Linked DNA regions of Oryzias latipes. The protein of the gene in region 1 purifies or fractionates together with the protein of each later gene. This does not show direct contact. Links are inferred from orthologs where the notes say so. Each region holds a gene or a part of one and is shown in the gene's direction. Other genes may lie near its edges. The genes, in order: ddb2 and cops6.

Region 1 (4,571 bases):
CAAGGAATAACATCATCAATACAAGACGAGCACTCATGAACTGAATTTCTATATATGTTAATCCTTGTAATCTAGGGCTTCTTGAATCAGAAATGTGTTTACCTCTTTGTATTCTCCATTGCGGTTTACTTTAAAGCCTTCTGGAGCATGAAGTTGGATGGTGGTGCTGCTGATGACCTCAATGCAGCATTCTTCATCTCCTCCTCCTAGAGGCCGCACGCGACAGTAGACCTTAAAAAACAAAACAAAGCACACCATGTGGCTTAAATTTTATTGGAAGAGATTTCGCTTGATTTACTGACACTTACTCCAACCGGGTCTTTCTGGTTGTTCAGAGGCTTTTTTGGCCTGCGGGGTGTCCTGAACTTCCTGTGGAGAAAACATGACATCACTATAAGCGTTAGCTTTAAAGGGGGCCCAAATAATCAACTAAGCCAAACGTTAGTCTTATGGTTAAGCAACGACGTTATGCTAAGCTAAATCAAATCCGTTATTTAGTTCGTTAACTGTCAGTTAGGCGTGGAATCAAGAAGTAACAACAAATTGCACGATATATAAATACGTTTGTAACAAATTGTCTAAGTTAAATTAATAAAATTCACTTACCCCTGTCTGTTCATTGTAGCCTACTTTCGATTCCAGTTGTTGCTCAAATTTTGAATCTTCCCGACTCAGCCTCTCGCCAGAGAACTTTTCAAATCCCACAACCGCCAATAGGATCTCAGAACAAGGAACACGAGTGTGTTGCGTCACTTCCGAGTTGACCAAATTCCAAAAATATTTTTGCAAACACGCAGCAGTCGATGTAGTCAATTACTTTTTTAAAAAATAAAAGTAAATTTATAAAAGTAAGAAAACTAATCAAATATTAGAAGGAGCGAACGTTTACCATGAAAAAAGACTGTAATTCTAGTATGCTTATGTTGCATTTTGGGTAGGTTTGTGAATTAATTTACTGATATGTACATAAAGAATGTTATTTTTGCCTGTTGCTGAAACACGACATAATACATTTTCATATGGCAGTTGTTCTCCTGTTTATGGACATGCTGCATTATGATGTTTTGCACTTTGTGTAATTTTTTTAAAGATTAGCTTTGTTGGTTGCTTGTCTTAAAGTTTTTAAATTATTCAAATTTGACTACTTTTTTAGGCATGTTGAGCTAATATGACATAACTCGGAGCCTTTCAGAAAAAAATGTTTTCAAATAAACAGGGGAATGCACCATTGCATGCTATATATGAAATCAAACGTTTGTTTAGTTCCACCTGATGCAAGTGTAGTTTATCCATCTATCTATCTATCTATCTATCTATCTATCTATCTATCTATCTATCTATCTATCTATCTATCTATCTATCTATCTATCTATCTATCTATCTATCTATCTATCTATCTATCTATCTATCTATCTATCTATCTATCTATCTATCTATCTATCTATCTATCTTAATAATACTAATAACAATTATTATTACTATTATTATTGTTGTTGTTGCATTTAATAATGGGTGATTTTTAATTTGGAAAATGCTAAAACTATATACCATTCAGAAATTCAGAATTGATAATTAACTAAAATAGGTTTAACTTAAAATCTTACATCAAATTGTCCAGTTAAAAATGCACACACACAAAAACATTTTAATTGTACTGTTGACTGATGATGTGCAAGTTTCACAGTGTGTAGCGTTTTCTTTAGTCTGTTGTATTGTATCAAGTTTTTAAATAAAGTTTCTTGAAAAAAGGGAGAATTTGTAAATAAACAGCGCCATCTATCGCGCACCAGCTGTCATGGGCTGAAGTTACAAAACATCTGCTGCCATTAGTCACGTGCGCTTCCGTGTTATGCAAACATAGACTTTAGATTAAGGCGGTTCTCTTCCACAATTACAGGTAAACTGCACATTTACGGGGTTTTCTAGAGGAAAGATAGAGAAGTACACAGAAGTGGTTTTGTTCGTGTCATATCGTCGAACTCTGACAGACATGAAAAGAAGGAAGAACACGAAACCAGGTGAAAATGGACCAAAGAGTCAAGTGAAAAAAAGAACTGAAGCAGACTCTGGAGCATCACTCTCCAAAAAATTAAAGGAAAAGATAGAAGTGAAGACCTCTGAGCCAGGTGAGCAGTACTAACGGGACTGCATGAGTTTACTCTGAGGTCATCATCCTGATTTGAATGAATTTCACTGCAGAGCGTCCACCTGTCAAGCCCCATACAGCTCAGAGGAGAAATGGCCATAACAGCATCCTGCACTACATTTACAGGAACAGTCTAGGCCAAAGTCTGCATTCTCAGATGAGACAGGTAAGTCAGTATGGACAGAAAGAGGGGGCTGTCTGCTTTAAAAATAACAATAATAAAAATGCACCAACAACAGATTTAGTCTGTCAAGTGTAATCTGGAACCCAAATGCAAATCAATGCATTGAAGTGAACAGAGACGGCAGACCAGTTGATGAACAAGGCGCCCTCTTCTCTAGGCTTCTGTCTGAAGACTTGATTGGAGAAGAAGAATTTTACTAAACAGAAAAAAATCCCTAATGCATTTTATGGATTTTACCCAATAGTAACAATCAGTTTGGTCACAAATGATAAAAAAAAAAATAGTTATAGACTTTTGTATTTATTCTTTTTAATTGGTGGTTTAAAAACAGATTCTGAATATTCTATCTGAAATGATGGAATGTTGTTGGGTTTTTTTTCTTTTTGCTGTTGCCTCTTGCAGTGTCTTCAGGAGCCCTTTGTCCGCTCTCTCTCCGCCTATCATTTCCATGGTGCTACCAGCCCCTTCGATCGCAGAATCACCTGTCTGGAGTGGCACCCCACCCATCCCACCACACTAGCAGCAGCCTCCAAAGGTGGAGACATCTTTCTCTGGGACTTTGAAAAGCCCACAAAGAAAAGCTTCATCCAAGGGGTGAGCTCCTGAAAAAGCACAGTTTTAACCAAAGAAGTTGCATAAGATTTTTTTTTCTTTCAGGATTTCAGCTTTTTGTGTGTTCGTGCTTGCAAAACGTCACACAACTCTGCACAACCATATGTTTTAGATAGACTTGACAATGCATTTTTCATTCTTCTCATTAGATTGATAGGCTTAACCACTTACAGTTTTTCTCAGTCGCTTTAGTACAATTCTCAGATCAGAATTAAAGTTTGCAAATATGTGTGTGCATTTCTCAAAACAATTTGTACAAACAGCAAAACACTATGGATTTCTTGCAAAAGCCTGTAACTTGCTCAAAATCTTTAGTTCATCTCTGAAAACTAAGTCTTTATGTCATTGAACATGTCAGTGCCATCAGAATGTCAAGTCCTTGTGTCATTGTCTACGAACAAGACAGTCAAATGACTTAGTCATGTTGTCAATATAACTGTGTACTTTAGAGGGAGGTTCTGATGTAAACTATGGCTAAAGTTTTGATGACAATTATTGTAAAACGTAAGTTACACCTTTTTTGTTTGATTGCAAGAGACTGGACAAGATTCACATTTACACTTTTATTATTCATATTGTAATTTGTTGACAGACCATGTCATACCAACATAGAAAAAACCCACTGCAAACAGTAACACAAAGGGAAAAAAAAGATAGGACAATATTCTGTACAACAGTACAGGCAGTGCAGTAGGAATTGGTGTGGTTTTCCGACACGTCTTGTCGTTCCTGTATGTTAGGCCACAAATTCTCATCCACATCACAGCGAATATCTTCGCTTGCAATGCAGCGAAATATGTTTGTCACATTATGACAACTTGGTCAACCATTTTGCAGTTAATGACTTATACGATGAACTAATGACTAGGTGTTTTGAGGAGTAAGACTATTGCACAGTGAACTATATAATACATTTTGATCAACATGACATAAACAATTGATAATGTAGCAAAGAGCAGAGAATTGTACATAATCATTTGCATGAATGTACCAAAGCAATTGCAACTTGTTCATAGAAGTGAGAAACTGCTTATATGATGTGCACAAGTGACATCATGATGTGAAGATTGAACAAATAGTTTTGGGAATTTCATTCTGATCTGAGAATTGTACTAAAGCGACTGAGAAAAACTGTAACATCCCACTCAGCTGGACAGCTCAGCTATAGGGGATACGCAGTGCTTCCACAGTCAAGTGCGACAATTCCAAGAAGTTGCTCTAGCACATATGAGTCCTCTTTGTCTAAACATGGCTGCCCAACTCTAGTACCCAAGAACTGCCATTCTATACTTGTTTTCCAGCTGTGCCTCCACTCTCTGATTGATGGACTTCAGCGCAGAGTAGTTGGATAGTTGGGAAAACGAGTTGTTGCTTCTCAGAATCGAAGTTGCTCAAGCCCTCGGTTTCAAGTCTCAGTTCAGCAGTTGTCTTATGTCGTTGCATTTCCTGCTTTTGTGCCCAGAATGGAGCCGGAGACTTCATTGGAGGGATGAAGTTCTGCCCTACAGACTCCTCCAGAGTGTATGTGGCAACCGGTGAGGGGAAACTGACCCTGCAGAGCTTTGAAGGCCACCCACCTACCCTGCTGTCCAAAACGCAAGACTGTGACCACAATCATCACAATCTTTG
Region 2 (4,424 bases), on another chromosome or scaffold:
GCTGGAAGTAGCCACTGCTCTGTCCTGAGGAAAAGCAGGTGAGGAACTCTTGGCCTGACAAAAAAAGCCCTGAGGGAGCTCACAACCACGGAGCTCCAGCACACGTAGAGAAGGAGGCAAGAGGTGGCAGTTGGGTAAGGTTCTCAAGTCTGCATGTAGAAGGCATAGCTTACTCAAGCGAGGGCATTTAGTGGACAAAGCTTTGAGCCAGGACTCTGAGAGAAAGGTTCCACCCCGGGCAGAAAGCAGCAAGCCACGCAGGCGAAGGCACCTCAGTCCACAACCAAAGTACTGACGCAGCAAGACCCAAAGGATGCGAGATGTCACCTGATGTAAGAAAAAAGAAGAGACCATGTGACAATAACGAGGAGAAAACTGATTAAATAAATAATGAGATATAAGCTCAAACACATGCACATCAGAAACCTAAAAGGAGGCCTATTTTTTTTTTGGGACTTACTTTCCTAACAAAGGACAATTAACAACATTTTAAATAACGTGTCCAATTATAGTAGAAATAATAATACAAGAAAAAAAGTGCACCTTTGTCACTGTTTTTAGTGAAGGTTTAAAAAAATTGGACATAAACTAACAAAAGAAAGCCTTAGCACGGTTGTTTCAAACATCACATATTTTTTATCCATGTTTATTACTGTGTCCATTCGATTACAGAAGAATTAATATTAATACTTAATATTCAGGAACTGAAACCACAGTCCTACCCCTTTCCAAGCAGTCAGATCTACTGTTCTCCACAGTCTTTGGTCTTTAACCAGCCGTTTCCATCTCTTACAAACCCTGGAGAAAATGTGGAAACCATTAGAAACTCGCCAGACAGAAGTCTCAACAACAACAACAAAGGGAGATCATCCAGCTGGCTCTGTCTGTCTGTGCATGCTGCTGCATTGTATAGAAAGAACAGGGAACCAAAAATCCAACACATTCAGCAGGGCCACATTTTCATACCTTCCAGCTCGAACAAGCTCTCTGACGCTCAAAAACGACAACACGTCTATCAAGATGTTTTCGGGGAAGTAATCCAAATCGCAGCCTTTGAATTCATCCATTCTGTAAACAAAACCTTCCACACGGACTAATTTCCGGATGCACACGGGTTGCGCTCTAATCAGTAATCCCCAGGAAACAGCTTCTGGTTAGCAACAGTTCAGTTCATTTAACAGTTCAAAGCAACGGGCCTGGGTTTCTCTGAACATACTCAGTCTACGTCTAAGTAGTTATTTAAATTTTAAAAATGTTTATGACATCAGCTCTGCCGCGCGCCTTATTGATAAATGTTCAGAAAATATGTGATGTTGCCACCTATCGTTCGCTAGGTCAACAGTCCACTGCGCACGCGCAGTCTACCGGACAAGATGGCGACCAGCAATGGTGGAGGAATGGAGGTAGACGGGGCAGGCAAGTGTTTGTCTTAAATCAGACCGTTGGAGCCCGACGTTAACATGTACGCGCGCACCAAGGGCCCCGCGTGTTTTGTGTCTCTGCTGGTTTGTGAGCCGGAAAGATTTGGCGGCGCTAAAGCTTCTGGCTACAAAAGCTTTGCTAACATGATAAGCAGGTTAACGGTCAGTCAGTGATGAATCATTCTGGATTTACTGTCGCTTTCTCTGATCTAACTCAGTAATGCGCAGCTGAGTTTATAAATACAGTCACTTAACAATGTACCCATCCTTAAAATGCTATATAATCTAAATCCAGATTAACCGAGCGCTGTTTAAAGAAGGAAAACAACTTGATAGTTTCCCAAATGCTACTGTATTCATTCATCTAGAGTAGGGGGCTGAGACCTTTAACGGGAAACGAGCCACTTGGTCCAGATTCTTACAGATCAAAACCCAACGAGAGCCACAAAGTCTGGCCTAAACATTTAGAAAAATACACTTTTTGTTTGTTTACTTCAGTGGCTTTTTATTCATTATTGTAACAGGTAGCTTTCTTTTACATGTCGACAATAATAGAATCACAAAGGTGTTATATTTTACTAAAAAAGAGCAAGTTTAACTTCTTTACTTCAGACAGCAGCACATACACGTTCCTTTCAAAATAAAATGCACCCTAAGTCAAAAGATCCTCCTGCTTCAACAGATTTAATTTTAGGTGAGCATTCATCCTTTTACTATCAACATAAAGATGTGTGCATTGGTTTAAAATCCAAATAAAAATAAAAATCTATACATGTAAATGCAATTATATATTTTAAGAACTTTGACTCAAAGCAACAACTTGACAGTAGACTATAAGAATATTTGCTTAGTTAAACTAATTAAGTATTTGTTCAATTTTTTTGAATGTCTTTATAGCCGCATGTGGCTCTGGAGCCTCAGGTTGCAGACCCCTGCAACCTCAGATACATCAGACCGAAGCCATTTTATTCAGTCTGTGACATCTACAGGATGAAAAAGTGCTCAACCTGCTTAAGATGAGCATCTTTGTGTAAAATAAAACATGAGCAGCTGCTGATGTGTTGGACATTGTCATACATCCGATGAATTTTTTCCTTTATCAATTGATTAACTACAAAAATGACAGATAAAACTAAAAGGTAAACAGCTTAGGTTTAAAGATCAATCTTCAGGCCTGTATGAATATGTTTAGGCAGGTGTTATCCTCTCTTGAATTGTTTTAGGATTATTTTTTATTTGTAAATGTCTCATCAACACGACAGCCAATTATTTGATATGTCATACTATATCTTATTGTGAAAAATCTACGTTGTGTTCCTTGTGTCTTGTATTTCCTGTTTTGTTGAAGTTGTTGCTGTTTGTGTGTCTGCAGCCACCCCCAGTGTCATGGCCTCGGGGGTCACTGGGAGTGTTTCTGTGGCCTTACACCCTCTGGTCATCCTCAACATATCTGACCACTGGATCCGCATCCGCTCTCAGGAGGGCCGACCCATGCAGGGTATCTGTGATGAAGCTAAACTGTAGCTCCACGCGTTGACCAATCACGTTTACTGATGTCTTCTGGCTCCAACATGGTCATGTCTGTTTCACAAAAAAAAAAGGCAAATGAATTGATTTCATGTGCTTGGAGCCAGAAATAAGCCATTTTCTATGGGTGATGTCACACTAACGCACTCCAATTCTCACATACAATCAGTGGTTTTGATTGATTTGTACTTTTTTTTTCAAACAGAGACATCTTTTAGTGTTAACTAGGAACTCAGAACATGACTAAAATTCATCATCTTATCCAGTAATGTCACTATGAATGCAGTATTCTTACTTGAAGCAGCGGAGCTCTTGAACGTGTGTTTTTCAGGCATGTTTGTGTTGTTTTGGTTGATCGTGGGTTTTCCTTGTTTAGTGATCGGCGCTCTGATCGGGAAACAAGAGGGTCGAAACATAGAAGTGATGAACTCCTTTGAACTAATGTCTCACACCATAGACGACAAAGTGCACATCGATAAGGAGTACTACTACACCAAGGAGGAGCAGTGTAAGCTGGGTTTCTCAATCCGTGTTCTTTATTGAAACTCTGGACCAGCAGTCCTAAAATGTGGACTGAATGAGGCTAAAACAGTCCTGCTGGATTTAAAAGAATAAATAGTCAAAGATTCAGTTGTGAGTTTTGAAATAAACTGAATTAAATTGAAGGTTATGTCATTCCAAACGGTTAATCTCAAAATAAAACTTCATTTTTATGTTTTTTAATATTTGATTTTAATTTTTTCTAAAGCAAATTATTTACTTTTTGGGGTCAAAAATTGGCTTAATTCTTTTGTAAACAGCTAGAACCTTCTTTGTCTCTTAGATGTGAGTGAGTCCTAATTCTGAACTACAAAACAAATGTCCGATTGTTCTTTTTCTCCACATAAAGTACATAAAGTAATCTAATCACCATTTACATTTGTAAAAGTCTGTTTTTTGTTTTCTTTTGATTTTTGGCAAATAAATTGTTGAATTCTGCTGTTTCAGTTAAACAGGTCTTCAAAGACATGGAGTTCCTGGGCTGGTACACCACAGGGGGGCCCCCTGACCAGTCTGACATCCACATCCACAAACAGGTACAGAAACGCCGGCGCTTCATGCTCGACTGCAGCAAAATGTTCAGACTTAGTGATGCTGAGCTGGAAATGATCCACTTTTGGGTCGAACCTTCTCTCACCAATGCTTCTTTAAACGTTTGTCTGTTCTGTGACAGGTGTGTGAGATCATTGAGAGCCCGCTCTTTCTCAAGCTCAACCCGATGACCAAACACACCGACGTGAGTTGTTCTTCAGTCATGGAGGGGCGTGTGTGCGTGTGAAGAGCTTTTCTAACCTGCTTGTCCCGCTCCTCCACAGCTTCCTGTTAGCGTTTATGAATCTGTGATTGACATCATCAGTGGCGAGGTATTGTCTCCGCCTCTTCGCAGCTCTGACTATGTTTTTTTGTGGCTCCTCATTGAAACGTCGTCTTTCTTCG

The links.
Region 2: the proteins of ddb2 (region 1) and cops6 purify together in Homo sapiens (affinity purification with mass spectrometry; 8 studies listed by BioGRID and IntAct, counting the BioPlex papers as one, with this or other methods). This does not show direct contact. The link is inferred for Oryzias latipes from reciprocal best matches to the Homo sapiens genes DDB2 and COPS6.

Annotation. Positions count from the first base shown.
Region 1 is NC_019864.2:16,130,650-16,135,220, reverse strand, and holds the start of ddb2 (DNA damage-binding protein 2), read left to right. Parts: upstream 1-1,677; 5' UTR 1,678-1,897; intron 1,898-1,988; 5' UTR 1,989-1,990; coding exon 1,991-2,126; intron 2,127-2,199; coding exon 2,200-2,312; intron 2,313-2,732; coding exon 2,733-2,924; intron 2,925-4,404; coding exon 4,405-4,571. Other genes in the region: kinesin-like protein KIF23, read right to left, coding at 103-231, 309-369, 607-620.
Region 2 is NC_019868.2:6,644,689-6,649,112, reverse strand, and holds the start of cops6 (COP9 signalosome complex subunit 6), read left to right. Parts: upstream 1-1,334; 5' UTR 1,335-1,373; coding exon 1,374-1,416; intron 1,417-2,793; coding exon 2,794-2,919; intron 2,920-3,324; coding exon 3,325-3,456; intron 3,457-3,935; coding exon 3,936-4,024; intron 4,025-4,161; coding exon 4,162-4,224; intron 4,225-4,303; coding exon 4,304-4,351; intron 4,352-4,424. Other genes in the region: fbxl12 (F-box/LRR-repeat protein 12), read right to left, coding at 1-327, 723-798, 967-1,067. UniProt on the Homo sapiens protein: Component of the COP9 signalosome complex (CSN), a complex involved in various cellular and developmental processes.